Rattus norvegicus: one gene and its partner. The protein of the gene in region 1 interacts with the protein of each later gene in a pairwise test. Links are inferred from orthologs where the notes say so. Each region holds a gene or a part of one and is shown in the gene's direction. Other genes may lie near its edges. The genes, in order: Psmd5 and Psmc2.

Evidence for each region.
Region 2: the proteins of Psmd5 (region 1) and Psmc2 interact in binary tests that used the Homo sapiens proteins (3 or more experiments, as listed by UniProt). The link is inferred for Rattus norvegicus from reciprocal best matches to the Homo sapiens genes PSMD5 and PSMC2.

Annotation. Positions count from the first base shown.
Region 1 is NC_086021.1:38,534,845-38,538,658, reverse strand, and holds part of Psmd5 (26S proteasome non-ATPase regulatory subunit 5), read left to right. Parts: intron 1-709; coding exon 710-901; intron 902-1,915; coding exon 1,916-2,025; intron 2,026-3,814. UniProt on the Homo sapiens protein: Acts as a chaperone during the assembly of the 26S proteasome, specifically of the base subcomplex of the PA700/19S regulatory complex (RC).
Region 2 is NC_086022.1:14,159,407-14,163,839, reverse strand, and holds the start of Psmc2 (26S proteasome regulatory subunit 7), read left to right. Parts: upstream 1-1,449; 5' UTR 1,450-1,525; coding exon 1,526-1,595; intron 1,596-4,433.

The DNA of each region.
Region 1 (3,814 bases):
AGCATTCGATGGTTTTCTTTAAGAATTCGGTGAGAGCCAGGTGTAGTGGTGCATGCTGTTAATCCCAGCTCTTGGGAGGCAGAAGCAGGCAAATATCCGTGTTTGAGGACAGCCTGGTCTATAGAGTGATTCTGGGGCAGCCAGGGGCACAAGAGAAACCCCATCTCAAAAAATCAACAGCTGAGTGAGAAATATCAGAAGATTAGTACTGCCGTGCCCTGTATCCAGAGCCGTGCAGTCTGCGGTGAAGTGATGGGTTCCTCACACTCTCGGTGACCGAGGGCAATGCCCCGTGGGGTGGTCTATGGACTGTTACAGCGATTGCACCTGGTGAGCAGTTCTGCCAGTAATGTCTTCAGGCTTACCGCCCAACCACTGGTGTTCCCATGTTCTCCCTGTCTCCCTCCCTCCCTGTCTCTCCCCTCCATTTCCTTCTCTCCCTCCCTGGCTATAAAGCAGTGTATAAGCAGGCTGGCCTGAAGCAGATAGTCCTCTACGTCTCCCCCAAGGCCCATTGACACCTTGTGGTATTTTTGTTCTCAGAATCACAGGATGGGCCTTTGAGTCTCCTTGGCTTCCCTCTGTAGGCAGCTCAGTGCTTCTCTGTCTCCTCCTCCCGCCTGCATTTATTGATATTCCCCTGGAAACATGGAGCCCCCAATTTGTGTTTCTTACCCCTCTCTAAAGTGTATTTCTGTAAATATTTTAGGATTTGTGAAGTTTTTTGGAAACCTGGCTGTCATGGATAGTCCTCAGCAGATCTGTGAGCGCTACCCTGTCTTTCTGGAGAAAGTGTTTGCAATGGCAGACAGTCAAGACCCCACTATGATTGGTGTGGCTGTAGACACAGTTGGAATCCTGGGATCCAGTGTTGAAGGGAAACAAGTTTTACAGAAGACAGGTTGGTGTGCCTTGTCTCAGCTTTTGTATCTTTGGCCAGGATTCCATGTTCAGGTCCATCTGCTGGTGGGATAACTGTTGCAGAAACGACTTTTGTGGGGGACAGTCTTTACCCTCATCATGAACTTGTCTCCCAGTCTCATGATCACTTTTACTCCTCACTCTCTATTAGGTTTTCCCCCAACAAAAACTGAGTGGTCTGCTGCTACTGTCTTCCTTCACTGCATTTTATGGCATAGCTCATGTTGTGCCCCAGCTCCCACTGATGGAAGCTGTATGATTTCATTTACGTGCCTTCTCTGGGCCTCACATTCCTCACTTACCAACATGCACAATGGCAGCAAACGTAGTGGTATGCTTTAGGCCGATAGTTATAGTGCACGAAAATACATTGCTTTCGCTTCATACCCAGTACAACGGCCATTACCTTTTTTAAAGCATAGCAAGTGTTCAGATGTTGAAAAGCTCCTGCGTTTTCTTACCGGAATATGAAGTGGTACAATTGCTATAGAAAACAATATGGAAGTTCCACAGGAAAAGTAAACAGAGTTAGCATGTGAGCCAGCAGTTCCACCTGCAGATGTAAGCCATACAACATGGAAAGCGGTGGTTCCAGCAGTGTCTGTACTCCTGTGTACAGCAGAATTAGTCTGCTCAGAACAGTCAGAAACACCGTAACACGCGTGATGGATACATGAATTACATGTGATGGGATTTGACTTTGTGAAAGTGTGAGGCTATGAGTCAAGCCCCTGCACAGAGACAGTCTGAAGACATTTTGCTAAGACCAGCAAGCCGGGATGGGAGACAGATACTGCGAGATATCACAGACAAGGTTCTCTTACCAGAGAGCAGTGAAGGAGAAGGGAGGGCGCGGTTTGCTTACCGAGTCCCTCGGCTCAGTTTGGGTTGTTGGGCGCCCTGGAGATGGAACACGGCACTGAGCGAGATGGGCAGCACTGGCTATGGTAAGTGTTAAAATGGTAGGTGTTATGTGTCACATCGTTCTTCACAGGAACCCGCTTTGAACGCCTCCTCACGAGAATAGGTTATCAAGCAAAGAATGCTTCCACAGAGCTGAAAATTAGGTGTTTGGATGCAGTTTCCTCTCTTCTGTACCTATCAGTAAGTAGACGGGAAGGTTGCTGAAGGGCAGAGGGCTGTGCGGGAGGATGAGTCAGCACCGCACTGGTTAGTTTAAGCGAGTGTGCTGGGTGCTGTGCACGTTAGTTAGCCCAGCCCCCAGCGGGGAGGGTCTGAGCTCCAGGCCAGCCAGGGTGCAGAGAGAAACCCTGACTCAAAACTAACAGAACGGGGTTGGGGATTTAGCTCAGCGGTAGAGCACTTGCCTAGCAAGCGTAAGGCCCTGAGTTCGGTCCCCAGCTCCGAAAAAAAGAAAAACAAAAAAAAAAAAAAAGAAAAAAAAAAAAAAACTAACAGAACAAAGCAGGGCAGTGGTGATGCACACCTTTAATCCCACCATTCAGGAGGCAGAGTCAGGTGCTCTGAGTTCAATGCCAGCCCGGTCTATAGAGTGAGTTCAGGACAGTAAGAGCTGCACAGAGAAACCTTGTCTCAAAAACAAACAAAAACACCTTCGATATATGACTGAAAACTTCGTAATGGCATTTTCCAATTTATTCTTGAAGAGTTTCATACACATGCTTCCACTCCTCTCCAATGTCCTCTCCCTGTTCCTCCTTTGCCCCCTCCAACTTCATGTCTGTTTGCTGTCTTTTCTATTATCCTGTCTAATTAGTGCTGCCCATATGCACAGAGCATGAGGTCATGGCCACACATGCAAGACTGTCCCCTCCTCCCACCTTCCAGCCCTTACATTCTGCCCTCTCATCTGCAGTGTCCCCTGAGGCTTGAGGAGCCTTGACACAAATGTCTCCCTTGAGGCCGAGTGTTCAAGTCACTTACTCCCAACCACTCACTGCCCATTGCACAAAGAAGCATCTCTGAGCAAGGCTGAAAGCTGCACAAGCCTCAGTACAAACATGAGCAGATGAGCAGCTAGCAAGACAGCAATAGGACCCCACCCCCATGACCTGTGACCTCCTCAGCCATGGGCCATTTTATTTTACGTGTATGGGTGTTTACGTGGATATGTGTCTGTGCACCACTTGTGTGCAATGCCCAAAGAGGCCAGGAGAGGGCATTGGATCCCCTGGAACTGGAGTTACAACCTCCATGTGGGTGCTGGACACTGTCCAGCCCCCAGCTATGTATGGCCTTTTGTCAAGGCTCACAGCACCAAGCCTGAATTCTGTGCTTTGGAGCAGGCCTCAATCCAGTCAGAGCAGTGGCTATCCTCACAGCAGTCATTACACTCTGTGCCATTGCAGGTCAGAGAGGCAGCGTTCAGGTCCAGCACTAGGCAAGAACAATGATGTCTTTCCTCCCCTGAATCCTGCATAGAGCAGTTTATGGTACTATGGGAGCCTGTCAGCTAAGAAGTTTGCCAGTTAATTGATTTCTCTATGTCTTGCAGTCAAACTGTGGGCGTCTTCAGGAATATAGGGTTGCCATTTAGTCATGATGGACAGCCAAGGGCAATGGGTATAGCCTGCTTTAATGGGGGAGGTGCTCTCTGGGACCTCCCAACTGTAGGGAGTTGCTGAGATTTTCATTTAATCGCCCATTTCCTCTGGCAACAGCATTGCCCACTCATGCAGGAATCTGATTCCTCATCCATAACCCCTCCTCACTTCCTAGATGTTATTGTTGTGAATGAGGGGAGTGGTGCAGGAGAGGTGTGTATGTATAGGCACACTTAACCTAGGACACCTGCGGAGCTCGGAGGACAACCTCATAGAGTCAGTTTTCTCCTACTTTATATTAGACCTGGGGCTTGAACTCATGTTGTCAAGCTCACACAGCAAGCGCCTTTACTCACTGAGCCACTTCA
Region 2 (4,433 bases), on another chromosome or scaffold:
AATGCGCGCGGCCGCCTACTTCCTCTATGACTCTAAACCGGCTGGAATCCAAGGTACCCGAACGAACAGTTCCTAGACGCATCAGTTCCTGCGTGGAAAAGGATTGTTTTATTTTGCTTTTTGTTTTTGTTTTTGTTTTTTCGCACAAGGGCGAGACGTAGAAAATAACTTTAAAAACGAACTTAGTTCACAACGTCACTCAGGCCGGCCTCTAACTTGTGAAAATCATGTCTCAGTTTTCCAAGTTCTGAGGTTTCAGTCATAAACTACCACTGATCGCTAGGTACCTCATGTAACTGGAATCATATAACTATATATTATTGTATTATTATATTAGCTGTAATTAATTATATATTACATTATAACATTGTCTCTATGTGAGTGGTGTATTCACTAGTATAATGGTCACAGAATTTTTTAAGATCAAATAGTAATATATTCACATACCACATTTTTGTCTATCCATTCATATGCACTCGATCTATTCTTTATTTGGCCTATTGCTAATGCAGCTATGATCATGGCTGTACGAGTGTCTTTTTGAAATCCCACTTTCAACTATTCGGCATTAGATATTCGGAAATGGGATTACTAGTGTATATAGATTTTATTATAGTTGTTTTCAGTTTTCCACAACCAACAGTGTAAAAAGGATCTACTTTTTCCCCAACATCCCCTCAAACTTTGTTTTCTTTTTTAAAAATAATAGCGATCCATGGGTCGGGTGTGGTGGTACACGCCTTTGTCACAGCATTCCAGGGTGCGGATACCTGTACGTTCGAGGACAGCCTGATCTACACCACAAGTTGCTGGACAGCCAGGACCACATAGAGCCCCAGTCTTAAGAAGACAAAAAAAAAAAAAAAAAAAAAAAAAAAAAGTCATGCTAAAGAGAAAAAAGTGCTTTTGATTTGAACAGCCTTTCATACGTCCATTTATTGGGATGTGTCTATCTCCTTTACCTACCTTCCTTTCCCTTTATCTTTTAAATGCCCCCCCCCCCATCATAAAATCCAGGTTGTTTTCTTGTTAAATTGTAGTTCTTTGTATAACCTGGATGTGCACTCCCTAACCGAAATGCATCACCTTTATTCAGTTTGTACATCTAGCCAACAACTGTGTCTAAACTGCCAGGCATTTTACAAACACGGTTATTCAGTGCCTTCCCAATCTTGTGAGATAAAGAGGAAGTAGATATTTAGAGATTACATTACCCGGCTGTGTGTATTATTCATTAATGACTAAATCAGGATGTAAGTTCATCAACTGAGCCAGGGCTAGTCTTGGAAGTTCGTGTTCGGGTACCTAAAAAGACCAGACTTGTGAGGGAGCGGGGTAAATAAATGTCTCATAACAGGTAATAATCCTCCCTCCAGTCAGCAGTGCGTGGAGTCCCAAGGTGCAGGGTGAACCCGCGCCAGAGCGCTGAGCTACTTCCGGTGGGGAATTAAAAGGGAAGACACCAGCGGAAGTGGGGAACGTGCTGTGTAATCACTGAGACGCGGAGGGGCTTGCGGCTTCTAAAATGCCGGATTACCTAGGTGCAGACCAGCGGAAAACCAAAGAGGATGAGAAGGACGACAAGCCCATCCGAGGTGAGAGGACACGGGCTCGCCCTCCCAACCGGGAGGGACCGGCTCTGGCACCGGTCGGCCTTGGACCCAAGCGGTGACCGGTCTGGGCCGCAGCCCTGTCTGCTTCTTAACTGTTCCTTACTCACTTCTCCTGCTGGCTGACTTTTTATTTATTTATTTTATTCGAACAGTTTACCAGGCGTTGGAGTTCTGGGTCCAGTGTGGCCTTGCAGATCTTCAAAAAGTGGCCAGCCTGGTGGGCTTTGAGTTCTACCTCCCGGCCCTATCTCCTCCTTCCCAGTTGTAACAGCTTGGTGCTATCACTGTAGGGACTATCCTGAAAGACGATGGTTCAAAACTCGAGTCAGAGGAGATAAACTGTCTCATCCTGTCCCTAGATTCGAGCCAGTGCTGATTCCAGCCAAGAAAGAGTCATTTTACATTTTTCTAGATATTTTATTATATATGGAAGTATATATTAGACACACGCTCGCGCGTGTCTTAATCATAATGTATCTTGCAGTATATCAGCATCATGAATTTAGAGATTTTATGATAGCAGATGCTTATTGTCCTATATCGTGGCAGTACAATAACATTTAATTATTGATAGAGATTTAGAATGCTCCAGTTCACAAATGACCGTGTTTTATAACCTACCACATGGAGGTTCAGGCTAAATTCTAGTAGCAAGGATGTCATTTTGCCAAATTACTCCCCGTAGAGACTAGATTGTTGACATTTTTTTTTAACTCGGTGTATGAGATGTGGTCAACGTTTGGATGTAATCTCTGCCCCCACACATTTTTTAGTCTCATCTTCACGCGTTGTTTTAAACTTTTCTCACCTTAAAAACTATTTTGGGGTTGGGGATTTAGCTCAGTGGTAGAGCGCTTGCCTAGAAAGCACAAGGCCCTGGGTTCGGTCCCCAGCTCCGGAAAAAAAAAAAAAAGAACCAAAAAAAAAAACAAAACTATTTTTCAGTGTTGGCGATGCCTAGCTCTTCCCTTTCTTAACAACTTCAGCCCCTTCTAGCACCCACCGTTTATGCCTCATCCCCCAAAGAAAACATTTTTTTTTAAATTTTCATTGACTCTGCAATTAAAAGTGTTTTACACCATTGAGAGTTTCAGGTACTTAGGACCTATTAGAAAGATTCAAAAGTTTGTACCTCATCTGTTTATACTAACCTAACCCATGTCTTCCTCTGGATGTGATATTTTGTAAAAAAAGGATTAAGGTTATTTTGGAGTTCAAGTTTGACTGAAGTGTTGGATTTTATGTGTATCTTATGTGATCTTTACAGAAACATTGTGAAGGTAAAATTCCCTCCATGTTAGATGATGAAATTAAATGTTTTTCCTGAGGTGATCCGGCAGATATATGACCTTATTTAATTTAAGCCTGTCCCTGAGGTTGCTGCACTTTCAAGCCCCATATTCTATTGGCCCCTGTCTTGGTTCTGTGGCATCCTTTTGAATGGCACTGGGATCACTGACTTCAGGTGACTGTCATCCTAATCTGATGACTCTTAGACTCCATTTTCACTTATAAAGTAGCAAACTTTATACCTTATGCTTTCTCTTCTTAACTCTGGGAACTTCATTGTTTCCTGTCTCTTTCTGCTTATAGGCTATCCACATTGTTCAAACCAGTTCAAACGTGTTGGTCAATTTACTTTCAGCTTAAGCTTCCAGTTCCTGTGGCTCCTCCTGCTGATTATTGTGACTGTTGGCCCCACTTGGCCAGAGTAGTCTCAGTCAAGCCTTTTACCTCTTCTTTAAGCCCTCAGTTTAGCCCCTGTGCTAAACAGCTGATGGGTGACTTTTCTCTTTCCCCAAGTGTTCTCTTCTATGTTACCTTTCTCTCAGTTCTGCCTCAGAGGACTCTGCCAGTTTCTGTCAAATCTAATGTCATTTCTGTTCCTGGTCTTACCTCTCCTTTCTCCCCTGGGACTTAGTCACTGTTCCGTTTGTGTTTCTCTAGAATTTTCTCCTTTCGTTTCTCTAAATATACTAATATCTACTTTGTCTTAGGAGCATAATTTGAGAAAATCTATTCTCTTTTCAGTCTACAACCCATCTTCTTCATTGTCTCTTCTCCCTCCTGCCTTCTTCTCTTTTTTCTCCCCCTCCTCCCTCCCTGTCTTTCTTTCTCTCCTCTCCTTCCCTCTCGCTCTTCTTCTCCCGTTCTTTCCCTCTCCTTTCCTTTCCTTCTTTCTCCTTTCCTTCTTTCTCCTTTCCTTCTTTCTCCTTGCCTAAACAGCTGAAAGGACAAACTCAGTAGAAGGAGGACCTGGATGTAAATCTTGGTGTTGCTTCATACCAAATGGTCATGTAGTTACAAAGAAGTCACCTAAAGTTTTTTTCTCCAGCGTAGTTCGGAAGCAATGGTATATGTGGATGAAGTATATATCATTTGTCTAATCACTGCGACTCACACAGTGGCTTTGAGCAGATGGTGACTTCAGTTGTCTTGTGTCTTCTGCTTTACTAGGTAGCCTTACTAAGCTTCTCTAACCGAATTCTATTGCTTGTCTTCTTTGCTGTTTCACTTTCCTTCATTGTATCCTATAATGGTTTCTCTAGAATTCCCTTTCTGGTGATTCCCTCCATTCACGTCTGGAACTGTCTCCTCTCATGATTCTCAGCTAACCTCTCTCTCCCTCTCTAGTTTATAAAGGTTATGGAAGGTGGCAGGCAGGGCAGGATCAGTCCTTCTCGGCAGCTGCTTTCCTCGGGGTCACTAGTAGGCTACTCAGCTGCTCACTGCCTCCTCTGGTGTATCCCCACCTTCTTGATGATGAATTTCAACTCTATTAGTTCTTGGAGATCTTGGGAAACATTTCATTAAGCCACA